Schizosaccharomyces pombe: one gene and its partner. The protein of the gene in region 1 purifies or fractionates together with the protein of each later gene. This does not show direct contact. Each region holds a gene or a part of one and is shown on either strand. Other genes may lie near its edges.

Region 1 (11,394 bases):
AAGCGAGTTTTGCGAGATCGGTTGCAGGCACTCCGAATAGTAAAAGGATTGCGGCAATGGCAACTAGTCAACTTGGTAATTTGAAAGAATGAAGAGTAAACAAGGGAATTTCAAGAAGAAGAGGTTCCGAAGGGTATGAAGAAGAAAGAAGAGAATTGCTTTAAAGAAGTAAAAGGGAGTAAAGAAATTTCAGTTTGGTTTTAGCTCGGGATTGGGCTTGAGCTTGGGAAGAAAAACGGATTGCGCTTAAAGAGATTTACGCACATGGAGTACGGATCGAGGGGAAGCGAGGAGAGAGAATGTAAGAATAGGCGAGGCAGGAAAAAGACATGAGAATAAGTAAAAGTTTGGAAGAAGTAGAAACGGAAAGAGGAAAGAAAGAAAGAAAGAAAGAAATTAGAAGATGAAGAAGAAGAAACTGAAAAACATAAAAATAAAATAGACAGATGGGAAAAATATGAAAGAGAGAAATACTTCTTACGGAGACTCAAGCTCATGTCCGAGGGAACAAACATTCCTCATAGTATGCGAAAACTTTCCTTTTCTCTTTTCGTGGAGAAGCAAAATGTTTGCCGACACAAAGGTCACTTGATTTTTCGTGCGCCATTCGTACGAATTCTTTTTTAAATAAAAAATAATTATATTTATTTAAAATAAGAGAAAAAAAAATGAATACCCTGTTGAATTTCTTACACGCCATTTTGTAACCGTTTCATTACATACTATAACGCCTACATATTACAAATGCTCACGTTATACCATGGAAAGCCGACAAACACGGTACAATGTAAATGAACAAGCACAAATGACTCCTGAAATGCAAACAAACCCGTCAGTTAACACCTAGGAATAGTCTCCCATGCAAACGCATTTCGGTTGGCGAACGCTGGTACTTTTTTAATACATTCATTTCACTCCTTTGCAAACACATCATGCCTTGAACCTCCTTACCTATCAGATTTCGCTTTCTTTGTTGATCAACCTCGCAGCATCTCGATATCTTTTTGCGTGGCCACACGCAAGATTTCATTTTTTTTGTCAAAAAGTTTTCCCACATACTGTGTTTGCATGCATAAATCACCTATTCGGATATTATCAATAGTCAAAGTCTCTTAGAAAGGGAAACCGCCCCTCCCCGCGTTACTTTTTTGGAGGCACCTTATTCTAAGCATTATACATGTCCACAATTTCCTAAATAAGCATAGAGCATAAAGTGGTAACCCTTTTCTTCTCAAACAAACGCCCGTCCACATTCTCTCAGTGTCTCTCTGTTGTTGCTGGAAATTGGGTATATGAAAAACAACCATCGCTGCCACTAAACATCGCTATGACAAATGCAGCACAGTTGTAACATGGATAAACAACTAGATATTTCTTATTCCACTCTGGTGATGTCACGACAGGTGCTTTGCGGGGCACGGTTGTTTAGATTGAATCACGGGGGAGGGGTTCCAAGTAAGAAGGACTCCTTTGCAAATGCATTGAGAGAGGATGGGGTATAAGGAAGTTTAGGCACTCTACTCTATCATGAGTAAGTTGCAGCCCCACTTTTTTTTACCAGTTCCAAGTGGGGGATGCGATTCGAGGAAGATGCACCAAGTAGGAGACTGTAGATATAGAAGGGATGGTTCTAAAGTGGGTGAATAAAGTCTACGTGGGGGTGAGAAATCTTTCAAGTTCAGCAAGTTGGTCCCTTGGCAAGGGAGTAGTAGTATATGGATAAATTTCCCCCCACATAGGGTCTCAGAGTAAGTTTGCTCCTCTATTCTTAATAGCTTGTTTATGTCAACAATAGCAAAACAATCAGCCAGAATCAAATAATCAATGAATACAACGTCCATATTGTTCTTATTTAGGAAACAATGTACATAATCAATTTTATTTTTTTTTGAAGGCTATATTTTTTTGTACTATGAACGAAACCATTATTTCTCATAGCAACCTTCGTATCTTATCTCGGGTTTCAAACAAAATCAGTAGCATTGCAAAGGTTCAATGTTTTACGCACAAAGGATTTTTTTTTTCTTTGAGTATCGTTTGTTTATCTAAAATTTTCCCAGGGTAATAGGAAAATTTGTAATACATACAAAGGCAGATCCTTTAATTTTGACTTTTAGTAGCCACTAGCTGTACTTTTAAAAATTTCCTACTGTAAAGACAACCTTTGTCTGATAGTGAATGAAATTGACATTCCAAAAAAAATAAAGCTTTCATCAAATTAATCTTATCATTACGATTACCATCAACTAAAGTATCTACCATTTTGTTCTACTTAAGTTTCGTTCCACATCTGTATAGCACGTGCGTTGATATTTGCTTATTTTGGTTTTTATCGTGTATGCACTTTCCTTTTTTAACATAAATGAAACCTGAAAGCGCATCTCCCGTTATTCTTTAGAAGGTTGCTAATGTCTCCATATTCATTTTCTTATAAGGATCAAATTGCTCATGTAAATATACTCCAAAGTTCAGGAATTTTGCAAGCCTGAATTTAAAATATTAACTAACTAAAATTAAAATTTCTTTTTCCTATAAATTCTATATTTTACTTAACGTGCTGTCTACGGCCATACCTAGGTGAAAACACCAGTTCCCGTCCGATCACTGCAGTTAAGCGTCTGAGGGCCTCGTTAGTACTATGGTTGGAGACAACATGGGAATCCGGGGTGCTGTAGGTTCCTTTTATTTTTTTTCTCATTTTTTAGCTCAGTCATTAACATTGATCATTGCAAAATCCGTAATATTTTTTTCACTTTCCGTTTTTTTTTTTTTTTAAATAATCGAATGCGTCGTTTTACAACCTCTGGTTTGAAGTAGATGCAACAAATTTTAGCGAAACATTTACAACATTCAATGTGATGAGACTTTTTGTTTCGCTGAGAGCAACAACAAATAATACTAAGAATACATTGCAGTACTATGATCAGAATGGATGGTAAATTCCAATAATAATAAATTAGTATGGCTATTAAAGGAAGCATGCAAATTTTAAAACCTAAAATAAAAAAAAAAACCGAAATAAATAATAAAACGATTGGAAACATACTACCACCCCATGTTTCCAAACAACTTCAAATAAAAGTTGGCTAAGCCTTAACTCCTGATCGCCTCATCGTAGTCGGGAGGTGGACCAGTATATTGGAGATTACCCTTCTCATTAAATGTTGTGTTATCGTCGAAAATATCCACCTTTCCACGCGCATCCTCAATTGCATAGGTCGACAATCCAAGAGGATCTTTTGGAATCCAAACTGATGGTGGTGTAGCTTTCAAAGCAGGACTCACATATTGTACATTACGTACACGCACAGGAATATCGTAAAATGAAGGAAGTAATTGTAAAACACGATCGAATCCAGTCAGGATCCTATTAGAAGCAGCAAGGTCAGAAAAATAACTTAAAACGAAACTAGGCATTTTATGTACAGATGAGATATTCGTAATAGCAAAGCCCTCGTCGTCCTTATCTATTTTTTCTTTGGTATTTTCCGAAGTTCTGCTACTTGTTTCTAAGAATTCATCACTTCCAGAAGATGATGACAATTTTTCCAGAATTTCGGGATAAGCACGACCCACGTTCTTCATTTCAGACGTACCCAGGTCCATTGGATATTTAATTTCAGGTCGCTCGGAAACACTTTCGATAGCACTAATTGGAACAGCATCCATCAAAGGTAAAAATTTGTATTTGAAATAAAGATGGCATGCCACCGTAAAACCCAAAAATACGGCTTCGAGTACGGTAGCGCCCCAATTCTTAGCCAAAACAAATAAGCCAATTAAGCAGACTTCTGCTAAGTAAAGACCGACAAATACTTGGAAAAGAGCTCTAGGATAATTTCTGCCCTTTGCGTCAGCGTTATGCCCTAAGACATAAATTAAATTATAGGAATATGCAAAATAAATTAAAACAAATGCTACAGCGGCAAATCCAATTATAATAGGAGCAATGATCGAGTAGCAAATCATGATAGTCACCAACAAAGAATAGACCGGATAAACCGTACCCCAGCTAGGTGCGGAAAGTTGATTCCAGCGATTCCACTTCTTTCGAGGTGTATTATCGAATATGCGCCCTAAAACTTTCGACAAAAGTAATGTTACTATTTGCAATAAAGCTCCTCCAGGAATTGAAAGTCCTTGCAAAAGGAAATATGAAATGTAAAAGTTAGACGCCTTTGGAAGATTACTGGCAAGTAGTGTCATGGAAGATGCTGGTTCTTTAATAACTTGTACAACGGCAGACGTAGCAGCCGATGTCATTGTAGTTACCAAAAAGACTTGAACGACCTGAAATGCGTAATACCAGTTTTGACAATAATTTTCAATCTCTTGAACGGTAAGAGCGCCGCCAAACTTTCCTAAAAACTTGATAAACGGTGGAACAAGCGACATCAAAATGGAGAGAGCAACAGAGGGGAGAATTCCTGTAATGATACCAAGCAATTTTGGAGGCATATGGTCGATAAATTTCAAGAAATGAACCTTTTCAATAAGATAGTTAACGTTGGATATACAACCGACTACTGCAACTGGAAATGCCCAGAAAATAATCATAAGAGTAAGAATAGTATTTGAAATAGTCTTTTTGCCTCTTCTGGTGTACATAGAAAGGTCAAGATTGGACCAAACGATATCTTCTGGAGCAATGCCGACCAAAGCACGACCGAAACGGTATTTTCTAAACTTTTTTGAGTAAAGGAAGGCCTGATAAGCAGTTTGCAAGTCCGTTTGACTACGGAATCTGATAAACACAGAACCAACTTTTTTGCGCTCCTCGAGTGAAGTTTGTAATTTATCGACAACCTCATCCAATTCAGCGATCGTGTCTCTACAGTAGTCAATAGTATCAACCTTTTTTCCAATCAAGAATTTAAGGCGATGAGTTGGACGCTTCTTCACGTAAGCGGTATAATCCAAGGTTGAAGGAAGTGGCTTATGCTTTTTGACAAGCTTATTATGTTTTTTAACAGACTTATTAATAAGGCTGTTAAGAGTACTCTCATACTTGTTTCCAAGGTCACTGCGTTTCTTGACCTTTTTTTCCAGCTTCTTGAGATCACGGACGCATGTAAACTCAGAAGCGTTTGGAAAAAGCTCATGAAGAGTTTCCTCATCGTTTAAAACTGAGTTTGGAAGCTCAGTCAGCAACATCGTAGAGGAAGAAGGAAGATTGTTATAAAGACCTGAAGATTGCATGGCATGTCGAAAAATAACATAATAGCGAAGCTCACGATATATTATGAAAATGGTGAAACCGAAAAACAACCAAGAGAGAAAAACATGGGCATAAAATCGATTATGATTTTTGACGTTTGAGAATGAAAGAATATCAAATCCCTTTTCACCCACACCGTTTGTTGCGTTTACAGGAAGGAGGATGGGGAAAAGAACTAAACAGCCTAGGATACAAAGGGCACCAAATGTGAAGAGATAGCGAATAAAAAAATAACCATCCACACCAGCGTATTGGATAAGATATGTCTCAGAGCGTTTCACAACGTAAGCAAACAAACCAAAAGGGCTAGAGGGGGAAGGCTCTGGTTTCTCTTCTTTTGGTTGAGTATCTATAATACATCTAGGTTGGTAAACGTGTTTCTCGCGAGGACGCAAACATAAAAAAAGACCGATGAAGGCGCAAAAGATAGCAAAATTGAAGACTAACGATGATACGAACGCCGACGTAGAAGAACTGCTGCTGTCGGACATACTGTCAAAAGAGTGTTGCGCTTGACACGATCAGCAGATGGAGAAAGAAAAATGAGAGAATGGTGCGATGTTGAGTTGGGTAGATTTGTGAAAGATACACACAACACCGGAAGTTTTAAAAGAATGATCCAAACCCCCAGTAGAAAACCTTCTTTGTTGTTTAATAAAGCAATTAAAACAATGAAAAGAAAAAATCCTAATGACTTAGAAGGTAGTGGGCGAAAGAAAATTATGCAAGTGATGGTGCATGGACTTTTAATAGTAAATGCTCATCTCCAATTAAAAAGCCTTGAGGTTCTGTTTACATTGGCGATATTGCGCTGGCAAATGCAAAGCCAGAATTAGATATTACCAGCATTTTTCACCTATTCTCCCTTAACACTGTCCAATCTCGTGAATTTGCGTCTCGCAATTTCAGATGTAAACAAATATTGAAACTGCGACGCATACATGTCACTTTGCTATTGTAAAACAGGCAGATCCCACACCCAGGTAAAATAAGAACCGAAGCAAAATTATGATAACGTTAAAAGGATTCATTTAGGAAAGGATAAACATAGTTAGTCACTAGCAAAAGAGAGAAAAACGAAATCATCCTTCTTTCGCACAATAACGAACTCATGCAATTCTTGCTGGTTGTTAAGGACATAGTGAAGTACAAGTGTTAGTGATATAATTCAAATTGAGATAATAATTTCATAAAACACGGACTTTCACTTATGTGACAATCATTCGCTAACTCGGTTTCATGTCACACAAAAAGCCACCATCGACTTAGTCGGGAGTGTAATATTTACACATTGGAACATGTTAAACGACATCGTTAAGCAACAGCGAGTGTCTTTACCGGACTTTTCACCAAAAAAATTTCGCTGCCCTATCTTGTACGCACGCAGAATAAAGCATTTCCAGCCAGTTATTGAACGCGCTAAAGTGTTGTAAAGGTCAATCTCGGATTTCATAAATTTCACCAATAAAGAAAAACCAAATTGCACATCATGTCAACGAAAATGACAGCTGGCTTTACACAGCCTCATATACTTAGTAGGTAATAATGATATGAGAGAGCATGGTGTAAGTAAAAAAAAAAAGGAATTTAGAATTTAATATTCTATGCTTGTAGTATATGTAATCACATACGTATGTGAGCAATCATTTTCTACCTGCAAGTTTTCTAGGTTTAAGGTTTTTTTCTTCGCTTTCTATTCAAATGTGTCATAGTTTCGCACTTACATGTAAACCAACATTTTCGAGCTATATTGTATGCAGCAGAAATGTAAATAGAAATATTTAAACTACACGTTTAAGTGTCAATTATATAAAAAAGAAATGTACAAAATTATTCAAGCAAAAGGTGATTTTTGTTTATTCATGCTATTTTAACCATCGGTTGCTTGGATGAAACATTTTCATTAATACTTGATTTCTTGATGTGACGGACATTCCTCTGTTCTCGTGTGCTTTTGTTCTCGACTATTACTTAACCATACTAGAAAATGATGAGTATTGTCGTTTTACAATATAGACGCAATACTGTAAACAACACCAGTATATAGGTAAACTGAAGATGAGTTGAGAACGAGACTCCTCCAATATAACTTACGTCTCTTTTGCTACGTATTCGTTGCATTTGCTCAAATGCGTTCTTGGAATGTATACGTTTGCGTAAATTAATCAACCCAGTTCGCCCTGAATAATTTCAAAAACTATGCGCAAATAGTTTATTAATAATATCAGATTATCCAACGCATTTGTAGAGCAAGTATTAATCTATGCAAACTCATTTGTGGGATGGAGCTTTTGCGTTGGGGTGTTAGTATATCCATTTTTTCTATCAGCTTTTTATTCTTAGTCAATTTATGCCAATACAAAAGCCAATTTCAAATAAAATGAAAAAAGACGTTTATTCAACTAATTCTGCTTTGGTAACCTAGTATTGTCATTACGAAGTGAAATCAGTTACTCTTCTGTTCTGCGTGTGTCGGTAGGACTGTTACTTACACCTATATCACATTATTACATGTTAAAAAGTATCTTCCAACTTTCATACTCCATTTCATTATCCTCTTATTAAATGAGTAGCCATATTTCCTGACAGCATTGGAGTATTTTCATACACAAATTCCTTTTCTGTTTACATGTAACGAATATTGGGAACAAAGCCAACCTCCAACGCATTTCGTTGACATTAATAGAGAATACAAATTCTTGACTCAGAAATTTTAAGAAATACTTCAAAAAACGATTATTTTTTTGTAGGAGATGCCCTCCTCAGACGTATGTAAAGCTGGTAGTCACAGGCATTCTGGATGGATCCAAAGTCTCAAAAAACCAGGGCCTTTCAACTTGGATGCTCCAGAAAACCCTGAAGAAACTCTTAAGTCTGCCTTTTCTTCTAAAATCTTAATTATTGGTGCTGGTGGTCTAGGATGCGAGATTTTAAAGGATTTAGCATTATCTGGATTTCGAGATTTAAGCGTAATCGACATGGATACTATTGACATTACAAATTTGAATCGACAATTTCTATTTAATGAAAGCAACATTGATGAGCCGAAAGCCAACGTTGCCGCATCAATGATTATGAAACGAATCCCTTCTACGGTAGTAACACCTTTTTATGGGAAAATTCAAGACAAAACAATTGAATTCTATAAGGAGTTTAAACTTATTATATGTGGCCTTGATTCAGTAGAAGCTCGACGGTGGATCAATTCAACTCTCGTGGCCATTGCTAAGACAGGAGATCTTATACCGTTGGTCGATGGCGGCTCAGAGGGCCTTAAGGGTCAAGCCCGAGTAATCATTCCAACGATAACAAGTTGCTATGAATGTTCATTAGACATGCTTACGCCTAAGATTTCGTATCCCATATGTACATTGGCGAATACTCCTCGATTGCCGGAGCATTGCGTCGAATGGGCATATTTACTCGAATGGCCTCGAGTTTTTCTTAATGCTTCAGTTGATAGTTTTTCTAAGCAAGAAGTTTTTGAACCGCTGGATGGAAAAAATTCCAATTTTGAACCAGATAATATCCGACATATTGACTGGCTCGTAAAACGTTCTATCGAACGTGCCAATAAATTTCAAATACCCTCTTCCTCAATCAATCGTTTTTTCGTGCAAGGAATCGTAAAGCGTATCATACCAGCGGTTGCGTCGACAAATGCCATAATTGCCGCGAGCTGTTGTAACGAAGCATTAAAAATTTTGACGGAAAGCAATCCGTTTTTGGATAATTACATGATGTATGTCGGTGAAGATGGAGCGTATACATATACATTTAATTTGGAAAAGAGATCAGATTGTCCTGTTTGCGGCGTATTGTCTGAAGTCTATGATATTTCAGCCTCATCTACCGTTACTTTAAAGGATATTTTAAATCATTATTCTAAATCTTATAATCTACAAAATCCTTCGGTTTCAACAGCTGCAGGAACCCCTCTGTACTTGGCTTCACCTCCAGCTCTTCAAGTTGCGACATCTAAAAATTTATCTCAACCTATATTAAGTATTACGTCGGTTGATGTGAACCTTGTAATTACTGATAAAAATCTTTCTACAAGTTTGTCTGTTCAGTTGAGAGAATGCTAGATTTGATGTTTATCAATCGCTAATAGACTGTGGATATTTTTGTGTAGAATAGCAGTTTCGCTGCATTTCAATATACTTATAAATTGAAAAGAGATATCACTAAAGAGATAGAGAATCTGCTTCACGCTCCTTACTATAATTCCTTGCTTATTTATAGTTATGTCATTTCAACTTTGTTTCAATGTCTTCAGTTTAACGACATCTCAAAAAAAATATATAAGTTGAAAAGATCTTATTTAATTTTAAAAAAAGAAACAATTAAACCAAATCAAAGTTATTCAACTCTAAATTACAAATCTACAACAGACAACAAACACGAAACGTATGCATACAGTTAGGTATTTAGCATATATAAGCATGCAATGTGCAAAGTATATTGCAAAATAGAAAGTAAATCAAATGCTTTAAGTTAATTTTATTTGCCTTTTTTTATGCTATTAATTTTATTGCTACGAGCATTGTCATTGAGTGATAAAAACATGCACTGCCCTTTGTTTAGGCATTTGCGACATTACTTTTCCATAAACAATTATTTTGATTCATGTTGCAAAAACATGACTTTTAACGACCGAATTTTCAAAAATTTTCATCGGAATAAAACAAGCGATATCATTTAGCAATAACATCAACAGAATTAGTATTTGCTCAGCAGCTATTAAATCCGCCTAAATAAAACAAGTTATTACATTTTCAAATAAATAGAAATTAAAAATCGTTCGAAACAAAGCAATAAGTCTTTTTCCCAAAAAAAAAAAAAATCGATAAATAAATTAAAATTTTCATTTTTGTAATTATTTTATTCGTTTACGTAGGTATACAGTAGAAAAACATGATTTTGCTCTCAACGGATATTTGACCGTGGACATACATTATTGACGCTTTTCTTACTACTAAGAGCCGGTTGACATCGACTTTCCATGAATGGAATCCCAATCTCGGAGACGAGAAAAACCGCATGGTTTATTATCAACTTTTCGCATTTATGACACTAAAATTGTTGCTTATGATAACGTAGAGAGGGATTTGTTGCTGCTGATACTCACTGGGGATTTACCGCTATCAATAGAATGGCTCACTAGAAAAACAATTATTTCACTGATCCGCCTGCAATTATAGACATTACTTTATTGATAGGAGTATTAGGAGAAAAAAAAAATATCAGTCCGGAACAGCTTGTATTTGGTTGAATCTGTTAAATAAATAAATATATATATATATATATTACTGCAGATACCGAAGCATGTAAGAAGCGAGCTTTTTTTGTCACAACACACCCGCCATCTGCACGCCTTTCTTAAACATTCACCATTCTCTGCTTGAATTGAGGAGATCAGGGTGCTTTTCTTCATTGCATTAATTGAACGATAGTGCCAATTTACCAAAGTATCAATTAATTCGGGCAAATCATTGACCCCTGGGAATTATCTCTGGAAAGCTTTAACGGTTGCTTGAGATTGGTGATCCTCTTGTATTTATTGTAAAATCTCAACTTTTGGTGTGATTTTACCGTTACTTTCTACCTCATAATTGCATTTGTTTGACATTTATAAGGTATCTTTAGCAAAGTATTTGCGAGTATTGGAAGTACTGTTATCGTCTTACATTCTAGGCTGTATTGGAAGTTGCAAGTGAAAAAGTGTCTTTAAGACGTACATTTTTTGTATATTCTTGATTCATCCTTCATTCCTTACCAACGTTGTCCTTTTGAGGTTTAAGATCTTTCAGCTTGCTTTTGTACTTGGTTTTAATACATTTCCATAGCTATTTAAATACAGAAAAGTTTACAGTTTCATTTCATCGCTTAACTGGGCCCTTTTATTCTCACTGTGTTTTCCCTCTAATGCTTTTAATTTAATTGATTGTTAAACAAACTTTTCTACCTTCAAAGTCTTGTCTGTTTTTTATTTTTATTTTTTTTAAAAAAAATCGCCTACCCCATATTTTCTCACTCATCTTATTCGTTGGGTGTCCCTTAAAAAAACTCATATTTATTACTTTTGAAGACTTTAAAAAAATTAATAATCCATGCCCACCCATAGCCTTAATCAGAAAAGAAGTTTGCTTTATCCTAGTATTGACAACGGGTCG
Region 2 (10,978 bases), on another chromosome or scaffold:
TCATAGGTTAGTGGATTAAACGTCTTTGAATTGTTTACTAATTTTTGCTAGGTTTTGTACTTTTCGTCGCTTCCCTGAAAAAAGGCAATTATAAGTTTCAGTTCAGTCAGTTCTGTTGGACTCATATGACTTTACTCTTAGTAGTTGGACAGTCCCATTTTATGATTAACAATCTGTTTGAAGGTTTATTTTGGTTCTTTGTCCCTGTTTGCTACGTTGTATGCAACGATGTTTTCGCGTATTTGTGTGGTAAGATGTTTGGCAAGCATCCGCTTATTCAAGTTTCCCCCAAGAAGACTGTCGAAGGTTTTTTAGGAGGATGGATTTGTACTGTAGTTATTGGTTCTCTTATCAGCTATGTTTTAATGCACTTCAAATATTTTATCTGTCCCACTCGTGACTTATCTACTTCTGCTTTCAGTGGTCTCAATTGCACTCCAAATTCTGTATTTCTTCCTCACACTTATACTATTCCAGCTGTTTTTGTCGATACCTTTAGACTTCCTGAAACAATTACTCTTGCTCCTATATATTTCCATTTGGCTATCTTCGCTACCTTTTCGAGTTTAATTGCCCCTTTCGGAGGATTCTTTGCTAGTGGTCTTAAGCGTGCTTTTAAAATTAAGGATTTTGGAGCTTCCATCCCGGGGCATGGTGGTTTAACTGACAGAATGGATTGCCAGTTTTTAAATGGAGTCTTCGTTTATATGTATTTCCAATCATTTATTGCAGAAAAGAGTACATCTGTTGCTGATTTATTGGATACAGCAGTTTATAGCCTCACGACCACTCAGCAAGTGCAACTTGTTGAAGATTTACAAAACTATCTCATCAGTCATGGCAAAACTAGTGTTCAAGCTATTTGTTCCAAACTTCTTCAAAACTCAAAATAGCTTACACTTTGTTATCCTCGTATTTGTTTACTAGCCAGTCTTTTATATTATTAAATGCGTTGTCATGTATAGTTTGACTTCCGTTTGTTAGTCATTCGTTATTGCTTGGAAGTTTTGATATCCCATGTCTAATTTTTAGTCAACTCCAAACTAGATCTAGTCGTTCGTTTGCTTTATATAATTTTCAGTTTTTCACCTTAAAAATTTTGTTTGACATTTTCCGAATTAGTTTTCATCAAAAACTTTTGTCATCAGGTTGGTTAAGTGAGCTAGCTTAATTCGCAAACGCTTAGAAAAGTTGATTATTGGACTAATCTCACGTCGGTTCTACTAAAAAACAGTTTCTTGTCTCAACACATACAGTTTTGTTTACCGCTAAAGAATTTCTTATTTTCAACATATTTGATACTTTCTTTAATATTTTAAATTATGCACAGCAATATATATTTTCATTAAATCACACTGTAGTAAATTCTGGTATATAGACCCACTGTAAAACTCTATTTTCTGAGAGTGGATAAGTACTACTGCATTTAAATAAGGAGCATCAGTAGAACAACGGCATCATAACAAAAAAAAAGATGGAAACAAAACATGCAAACCCCAATTTTTTGGGAAATTTTGTAAAAAAAAAAAGAAAAGAAAAATTGGCATCCCGCAAATACGAATTAAGTTAAATTAAGTATTATGTGCTTTTCATGATTTCCTCTTCAGCAGTTGCTTTTTCCAAATTGTATTGGGACTCATCTGCCATGCTATAACTATCATGAACTTCCTTTTCAACGTCCTTCTTCGTTAACGCATCATTACGCTTGAACTCAAGTTGATTTTGTTCATCTTCCATAGCATCATAGTGGTGGAAGCAAACCCAAAACATAATACCAGCAATAAAGGCAGTGACGGCAATACCAGTGTACATCCAAGTAAGCTTAGGATTGACAGCAGTAGAAGAAATGCAAATAGATAGAATGGCACCGAATGCATTGGTGAACAAGAACAAAGCAGTAATAATGGATTTCATTGAAGGAGGGGCCTTGGTAAATGCAAATTCTAAACCAGTAATACTGGCAAAAATTTCAGAGAAAGCAATCAAAACGTAAGCAGGGATTTGGATCCAAACACTGATGTCATTGGAAACACATGTATCAGTAAAATTTGCATAGCAAGGGCCTCTTTGATAAATCTTTGCTTGTAAAACAGCAGCGTAAATCATGGAAGCAGTAGCAAACATAAACCCTAAAGTAATACGAAGGATGGGTTTGAAAGGGATGTTATACTTACGCAATAATGGATAGATGATATTGTCACAAATGGGAATGAAAATAATCAAGGCGATTGAATCGAAGGCTTGGAAAAGATCGTTAGAGACATTACCCGTTTGCATTTGTCCAGCTTGAGAAATTAAGTTGTTGGTCATTTGACCATAGCATACCCAATAGATAGGGTAAAAGAGAAAAGTTTTGCAGGCGCGTAAGGCACGTTTCAATTCGTCGATAAACAAGTCATCCCACTGATCCTTGAGCGTAACGCGTCCAACAGTAGTAGTGCAAGATGGTTTAGTTTTTTCGAGATTAAATTTGTTTTGAGCAGCAAGGAAGAACACTTGACCAACACGAACAAAGATGGAACCGGAGGGAGGAGTGTGCTTGTAAAAGCGCTTACTAACAGCCAAAATAATTAAGGGGATAACAAAGACGCACAAGGGAAGCAAGTATGCGTAAACAAAACCTTTAGTACTTTCCAAACTAGTGGTGGCTAATACGGAGAGAGAACCGACGTTAATTGACCAGTAGAAAATCATATAGGCACGAGAGGTGGTGACGACGGGGTCAACAATGACCTTGCTACCATTTTTCTTGGTCTTTACATAAGGAGGAATTTTTGGAAGCTGTTCAGCCATCAAGGGGGAAACATTGGATTTGATACCACCGGTTCCAAGACCAATGATGATCAAAGAGACGACAAACCCACCCATACTTTTTCCGGCATCAATGACAGAAGGAATAGCAGTACATGTAAGAATCAAGATACCAATAAAGTAAATGACAGCAGAGCAAACAATGGTATTGTACCTACCAAGGAATTGATCAGCAATAAGTGCAGCGCCAACCGGGGTGACATAACACCAAAATGTGAAGAAATTAGAAAGACCGTCAGCACCGCTTTCGCCTAAATTAAGGGCACCTGGAGTAGCATCCTTAGGACCGAATTGCATATAATTTTGAAAGGGAACAGTGAGACCATAGTAAGCGAAACGTTCGCAAAGCTCGACAATAATGATAATAAAGGCTTTCCAAGGAATAGTACCGCAAACACGAGGAAGGGTGGCTAATTCTTCTTCGGTAGGAGAAGGGTATAAGTCACCATTGACGAGGACGCCGGTGGACATGGATTTTTGGAGTTCATCGGTGGAGGATTGTTCGTCAGCGGTGTTGATGGTGGCAGAACCATCAGCCTTTTTCTCCTTGCTTAAGTAGGATTGATCTTCTGAAATGATGAAATCGGAGTCCGATTTCGTAATTTGTTCTTCAATGCTACTCATTGTAAACACAGGTAAATTGAATGTAGGAAATCGATCGTATGAAAATCAAAAATAATAATAAAAAAGAGAATGAACAGAAGTTTCAAGAACAATTTTTGGGTATAAAATAATTACAATGAAACGAGAAAACAAAAGAGGCGAATATTAAAAAAAAAAAAAGAGGAAGAGAAAAATAACGTAAACAAGCGAAAGATTAAAAAACAATTGTAGTACAAAAGATAAAAAAAAGAATAGATCAAAAATAATAATAATAATAATTAGTCAAACTAATTACACAAAATTGACAAGTGAATTCACAAAAAAGTTAAAATAAACACTTTTATATGTGTATCGAAGGCCGACTAACTCAACTAAGAGTAAGAAATATGAAAGTGAGTGAGAGTGAGAAAGGGTATTTAAAACAAGATTAAATATACACAACAACAAATAAGTATTTATGACAATAATAATAAAAAAAGAAAAATTTTTAGAATGAAAAAATTTTTCCTTAATGTATTAAATAAATACTTGGAAATTAAAAGTGTATGTATGTGAAAGTGTGGAGAAAGTCACAACTCCAAACAAAAGAGGTCAAACGATTAATTATACGAACGATGAGGAGTTTCCACTCAAGGTTTTTGAATTTCTCTTACTTCTAAAACACAGACTAGACGGCACGACGAAGGATGTCTTTTGAGGGGATAATTTTCAAGTATAAATACTGCTGAAAATGAAATTTGTCCACACTGATTTAGCAGTCACCACGTGTTCATGCACGCCTTTATCAATGACGGTGAGCAAAGCACGATAGGCGATAGACAAATCGTAAATGTAGGAAACGTGGTATGAAAAAGTTTATTATCTTCCCTACAGATAAATCAAAAAAGAGGGAGGACCGGTCTAGACTGCACATTTTTAATAATTAAGGTCAATGCGTGAAAGGTGGGTTTGATGGTTGATTGGATAAATCAAATGTTATTTCGGACAAAAACGTTAGTGCGGAATATCTATTTGATTAAAAATGCACGAGGAGTAACCATATCGCACAACGTGTGACCTGTTGGAAAAAGGGGTGAAAATTGGTAAATCCGCTGGAAATAGATAAGCTTGGATTTCTTCGTGTGATGCCGTTTTTTTCATCTACTCCACTATCATGCGGAAGGATTGCGCACTTGTTCAGTTGCGTGTTTTTGCTTAACGATAGAAAAAACTCGTGTACCTCCATTTAGGACTTTTGTGCCACCACATCGCATGGTTGAAGTGGAAAGTCGTACTTGACCGAAAAAGTGGGGATGAAATTGGGTACCAAGTGGGGTGCATGGAATTAAATGGTCAAGAGCACAACGTGCAGAGCATATGGAAAAAACGAGTAGCACGTTATAGTGCCAAAAATAGAAGTTTCACTACAGGAGTGAGAATGAGAGTGAGGAGAGGTATAGAAAGAATGTGAGACAATATAGTTAGTATATGTGAAAGTGAGAGTAAAAGGTATAAGTGTTACTATATGAGTATGGATGAGGATGAGGGAAAAGGTAGAAAAGAGATGACTGTCTATGTATTGTCATACATATTGTTATTTACAAACACATCCTCTACGTTTCTTATTCTCTCACGACGACATACAGGTGAACGAAGTTTTTCAATAATTTTAGAGGTTTGAGGGTTGAGTTGTATTCATTGCTTACTTGTAGTTTGCTCATTAATAATAATTACATATTTGTTAGATTCTTAATACTTTGCATATTTATTAAATTTATGTAATCGTTTGATGAGTGTTACATTGTTGTTTTTATTTATTTATTTAACCGTTGAATTCATTCCTTCTTCTCGACATCGGCCTTTACACCACGTTCGCGTGTCTCTTCTCTCTTGTTTCCTTCCCCGGGTATTCCGCGATTAGCGCTGGCGATTCACCAAGGTAAAACTATGTATGCGAATGGTGAGTGGTCTGCTGTAGCACGGTGTGTGCACGAGGAAACAAGGTCTTCTCTTTAAGAACCTCGAACCCGGTAAACATCGTGGGTGGCAGAGATAGTAAAAGCGACTAGTTCGCCTACCCCCACATGAATTGTCGCAAAGATGATGAGGGACGACAACAAGTAGGTAAGGTAAAGTAAAGTAAGAAAGGAAGAATAGTGATAGCATTAATAGTAGTGGGTATAACTGTCACGGAAATGAACATATCACACTCCAAAACGGACTTGTTGGTGTATGAGCAATTTTTCGCACCCATTTTCCCTCATTTTGCCAAATGAAACCATAATGCTGCAAGATTGCTGAAAGTATCGGGAAAGCCTAGTAAGAAATGGTCCAACTCGTTATGCAGCGATACCCTACCCTCCGTCAAGCAAACGAGATGGTTGTGTAAGGCGAGGCACAAGACTTCAAAAAGTATGCAAATTAGCAACAGATAGTATACCCTAAATTCCAAACGATATCTTCTATCACAGAATCAGATTTCTTATAGTAAGTTCATGATAACTTTGAAGAAACTTGAGTTTGATAGCATTAGTAAATAAATCCCCAATAACGAAGGAGTATGCAATGTCACATCGATATCTATGCTTCTAGCATTGCTGATTCTGACTTGACTTTTCTATCTCGTCGTCGGTGCACAAGTTGATACTACTTTGGCAGATGTTTCTCCTTTGAATTTATGAACTTTTAAACAAATTGCTTTTTGTTTCTATGCCCATTCCTTATCAATTGAAAAGGAGAGAGGAGAGAAAAGGAAAAAAAAAATTTGACCTCTTTTTGGTTTTTTGGTTTTTTTTTTTTTTTTTCGCTCTCTAAAACTTATCTACCACACCTCTTCGTCATGTAATTTGAACTATACTTTTCACGTTAAAAACCTTTTCCCCCTTTGATTCCGTCGAAAGTTTCACGGAACCAATGTTTCCAGTGTTTTCATAGAGTTAACAATGCATGTTTACCTACTAGTTGGAAAAAATTCGCAACACTTGTTACTAAGTGCTATAAACTGAACATTGCATTTTTCTATATTTTTTGCATGTTAATTATTTATTTCATTGAGCCGTCCATAATGCTTGTTTTCTTTGCGCCTACTTAACATCAAGTCGTTCTCGTCTTATCAATTGATCCTTCTGCTAATAGATTTTTTAAAGTAACAAACGTCTATAGAGACGCGCATTATGAAGTCCAACAAGTATCGCTAGTTTAATGATAAGTAAGGAAGGGTTTCATTTACGAATTGTCTTCTTTCAAACATAGGTTACTGTTTCCTTCTTTGATATTCGGGTACCTGCATATCACCCATATGTATTTCCTATTTCCGTTGATAAAATGTCATATCACTTAATTTTCTCTTCTCGTCATTTTTTATTCCGACCCTTGTTTTTATCGAACATTCGTTAAATCTATAGATAAACTCCAACGACCGCGTATTGTGTTGGGCAAATTTGCTTAACCCCTTGCTCTGTCTCTTCCGACTTCTTCTTTCCTTCTCTATCCATCCTATCTTACTATCATATCATTGAAATGTCTCGTGTCCGTGTAGGCGAGAATGACGGACGGACATCCTCAGATCAGATATAGAGTCCATCTCTTACGGAATACTTTAATAATGTAATAACGTGTAACTTAATGGTTGTTTACTAGTTATAGCGTGACCTGTCGTACCTTTTTTATTTATCAAAAGTTATTTTGTTTGTTCTAGTCATTATGTGCTGCTATTCATTGAAGCTCTACGATATTGAGGGAACAGGAACGTTGCTGGGCTGAGAGGTCGCATACTTCATGAACGCTCCAAACACCCCCAAGTAGCCTTCATGTCTTAAAAAATATGCATTCATGGTATGGTTGCTCCAATACTGAATGGCATATGTCAACGTGTGCATAGTTTGAACGTGGTTGCGGATGAAGCTGCCGCCAAAGTAGATGTTTTGAACATTGTGCTTTTGCGCGTGCAAATAAGCAATTTGCCCAATGTTGTTGCTAATGGCCAGTAGTAAAGACCTGGAAATATCCTGAGGCGCAAACTCTTCCAACGGTTTTCTTTCACGAAACACTTTTCCAAATGAACTAGCAATAGTGGTGCTTTTTAGTCCAAATCGTTCGTAGCCGATATCCTTTCCATAAATATCTCCTACAAGCATATCCACACTTGTGTTATCTCCTCCCTTGGACAACTCTAACATCTCGTCAAACGAGTTTGCTGGTGTCAACAACGACAACAATCCCCAAAGCGTTCCCCCTCCTAAAGACGAACCACCAATTCGTTCAAACTGTGATGGACCAGTAACCTTAAGAATGCTGACACCCGACCCAATGTTGACAAGCATGTGCGGGTAATGATAGCAATTCAGATGGTTTTGAAATGTTAATTCGCACGTATCCAAGTCCAACACAAAAACTTCTCTTGGTATACACGAAACAAAATAGTTAAGGCCCATAATCAAACATTCCATCTCATCTTCTCTAATAACCTTGATGTCCAATTGTTTAGACATCCTATCGTAGAATTTATATGCCCCACCGCCAGTAGCTATCAATGTAATCTTTTTTTTGTTACAATTCTTAACGTGATTGTCAATTAAGTTCGCCATAAATTGAATACAATCTTCAATCTTTGCTGTTTCAAAAATCATAAACGAAAGCCTACCACCCGTATAGTTTTCGGCTTCAGATATACTTGAAGAAGAAGAACTAGGTGAACTGCTTTCACAAACATAGTACATTACTTTAGCTAACGAACCTCCAATCTAGAAAAGTGTCAGCAATGTCAACGCTTGCAAGTATTGGAAAAACTCTCCTCCGTCCAACTGTTACCGTACATCAACTGCAATATGAGTTACATGTGATTTGTTGTTAGGTAAGGCAATGTCTTTATCGAATTGTCCTTCATTCTCTATGATCCGTGCACCTAATAATTATTAATAAGCGATTTAAATGAATGATTTCTAAACTTCTGCTTACCTGTCAGATTTAACCATACCGAAGGAGGTTGAGATAACTGCCGCTCAACATTTGATATTGTTTCTCTGCTAATTGTACTGAACCTTCCGCATTCTGTTTCACTCATAGTACTTAAAATATAATTGATTAAAGTTGCTTGGTCTTAAACCAATCTTTGATAACCCAAAACACGTATTAAGCCAAATGAACGCAGTTAATCACAGTACTCCCTTTTACTTTCTATCAAAACAACAACAATCTAATAAATGAATAAACCCAGGTTTCCTTTTGGTATTCTAAATGGAAAAATGAGTATATAGAGAAATAGTATAGTCGGGTGATATCACGTGTGGGTACGTTGGGAGCTTGGAGCCATAACTTAGCACTTCATAATGTGCGCGATCTAAGCCTATCTTTAGGTGATTAACAGTAGCAAAAGACAATGCCTTGCTCATAATACTAGCATTACTAATCATACTGTTATAAATTTTCGTTTACAAGAATGTTATTCCTGATTATATAACAACAAATCATCAGATTAGCAATTCAACAAGATTCTGCTTCATCATTTGTAAACTCAAATAAGCAATACCATAAAGTAAATTAGGAAATCTGACTGGTGGAAATGATGCATTTATGGAAAAACTGAAAAAGTAAATATCAAATCTTTTTCCACTAAACATCAAACGTTTTTTAACCGAAATTTTGTTATTATTCATGAAAATCATGTATGAAACATTAAATAAAAGTGCTTAAATACTGTTTTTAAATAGACGGTAAATCCGATCAACTGCCCGTAGTTGTGCTTGAACACCATATGAGCTTGACTGTATGTCTTCGAGATCCTGAAGTAGGTCTTCAGCAACATCCTTAGATAGACCCATATCCATGGACATTATGGCCATCAAGTTAACCTGGAAAACCAAGAGTCCATAACTCATATCATCTAAAGAATTCATTTTCTGTGACCGAACCAAAATACGTTCGGCAGCACGAAGTGATTGTCTAAATCGTTGGCGGCGTTCTGCCCTTGAAAGAGTATCGTTGTTGAAAATGTTGGCCTTTACATACCTGATAATAACATAGCAGAATATAAGACTAGGGGTTATTCCAACTGTTGCAAAGACGAGCTCTTGACTTTTTAATAGTCGATCAATACCACTTAATGCTACCTCGACGTCAACTTTTGTTTTTTGCAATTGAATAAGCAGTGTCCGAACTAGATTCCCCGAAACGGCAGTTCTAATCGGGGTTTTTAAGTCATGTTCATATGCTTGCAAAACGTACGTAAGATCTCCTTGCTGTACTTCTTGTTTCACCAAATCCAAGTTTATACCAGCAGGAGAAGTATCGGATACAAAATCAATCACCATTCTCTGTAAACTTTCCATATCACTTTCTAAACTTTTGGTTTGCAACAAAGTAATTTGCGAGTCAGCCCTGTTAGAGCGGATGGTGTCAAATATTCCTAAAATCGGTTTTTGAATCCAATTAGTGTAGAAATCTACAGCCGTTGAATAAAGATAATCTATCCATAGACGTATGCTGGTTCTGTTTTTTGTAATTATTTGGGTTGACAGCCAAGCGGAAAGTAAAGTAACGAAAATTTTAGGCCAATTTCGTTCTATTGCACTTGGACGAAAATAGGCTTTAGCCTCAAAATATTCATCTGTTGGATGGCTCAGATTATCCAATGTTATTGAAAGAATGTCTGGCAAAGACTCTGAATTGTCAATCTTCTGCCCTTGCAGTTGTGAGAGTCTTTGGATCCATTGGGAAACAACTTGTTTTAAATCAGCTTTTGCTGAAATGCCATTTTTATCACCACTTGATGAAGCAGCATCACTAACTCCTTCACTCATAATTGCACGAGTTAAACATCCAATTTTGCAAGCATGCTCGTCCCTAAGTTGACGAAGTCGCTTTGCATTGCCACGATATTCATGTCGTATGAGAGAAAGTAAACTAGCCTGTGAAATGAAAGCATCACGGGGAAAAAGAAGGACATCCGACTTAGAAACTTTAGGGAACAAATTTTTTTTAGCAAAAATATTAGAGAAATTTTGAAATTGTAGAATTGATTTGATGGAATTTCGACAAATGTGATATAGTCTAGTAGGAAAAGATTGAATTAGGAATAAAACCCTTGAATACCAATTTTTATCGATGCTTTCCCAATAATGAAGGTTATCAGACATAATCATCGCTTCTTCTAACAATTGATCTAGCATTTTTACGTGTAAATGAGCTGAACACCTCCCCAATATTACCCAATACAGATAATCTTTTGGTCCCTTATCTAGCTCCTTCACTTGAGTAATAACATTTTCTAGTTGATAATTTGTCAAGTTTGTTGAATCCAATTGTTGAAATACATGAAATGTTACTGAATTGGAAGTGGTCTCTCCATGCACCGCAGCAAGCTTATTAAAATTTGCATATACATCCTTCAAATGTTTTTGATAAAGTTCCATATTGCCAAACTGTTGTTATTCACCCGTTTTGTTGCAGTCTCAAAAGCAAAAATAAGATATTAGATATAATGACTTCTCTAGATATGCAAACACGCATTCACTATAGTTGAAGAATTATTTGGGCATTTAAAACAAAAAAAAATAGTCAGTTAAAATATATGATATTTGAAATGGGT

Evidence for each region.
Region 2: the proteins of SPOM_SPAC24H6.13 (region 1) and ptr2 purify together in Schizosaccharomyces pombe (co-purification; one study listed by BioGRID). This does not show direct contact.

Annotation. Positions count from the first base shown.
Region 1 is NC_003424.3:453,968-465,361, forward strand, and holds SPOM_SPAC24H6.13 (Ca(2+) transporter), read right to left. Parts: upstream 5,930-11,394; 5' UTR 5,710-5,929; coding exon 3,094-5,709; 3' UTR 2,964-3,093; downstream 1-2,963. Other genes in the region: NEDD8-activating enzyme uba3, read left to right, coding at 7,972-9,306; vsb1 (sulfate transporter), read left to right, coding at 11,332-11,394. UniProt on the Schizosaccharomyces pombe protein: Acts as an osmosensitive calcium-permeable cation channel.
Region 2 is NC_003423.3:3,404,258-3,415,235, forward strand, and holds ptr2 (PTR family peptide transporter), read right to left. Parts: upstream 4,103-10,978; 5' UTR 3,436-4,102; coding exon 1,579-3,435; 3' UTR 1,318-1,578; downstream 1-1,317. Other genes in the region: bbl1 (phosphatidate cytidylyltransferase), read left to right, coding at 1-6, 52-893; ptk1 (Fbl-like pantothenate kinase), read right to left, coding at 7,119-8,135, 8,208-8,296, 8,350-8,455; protein Nca2, read right to left, coding at 9,081-10,802. UniProt on the Schizosaccharomyces pombe protein: Uptake of small peptides.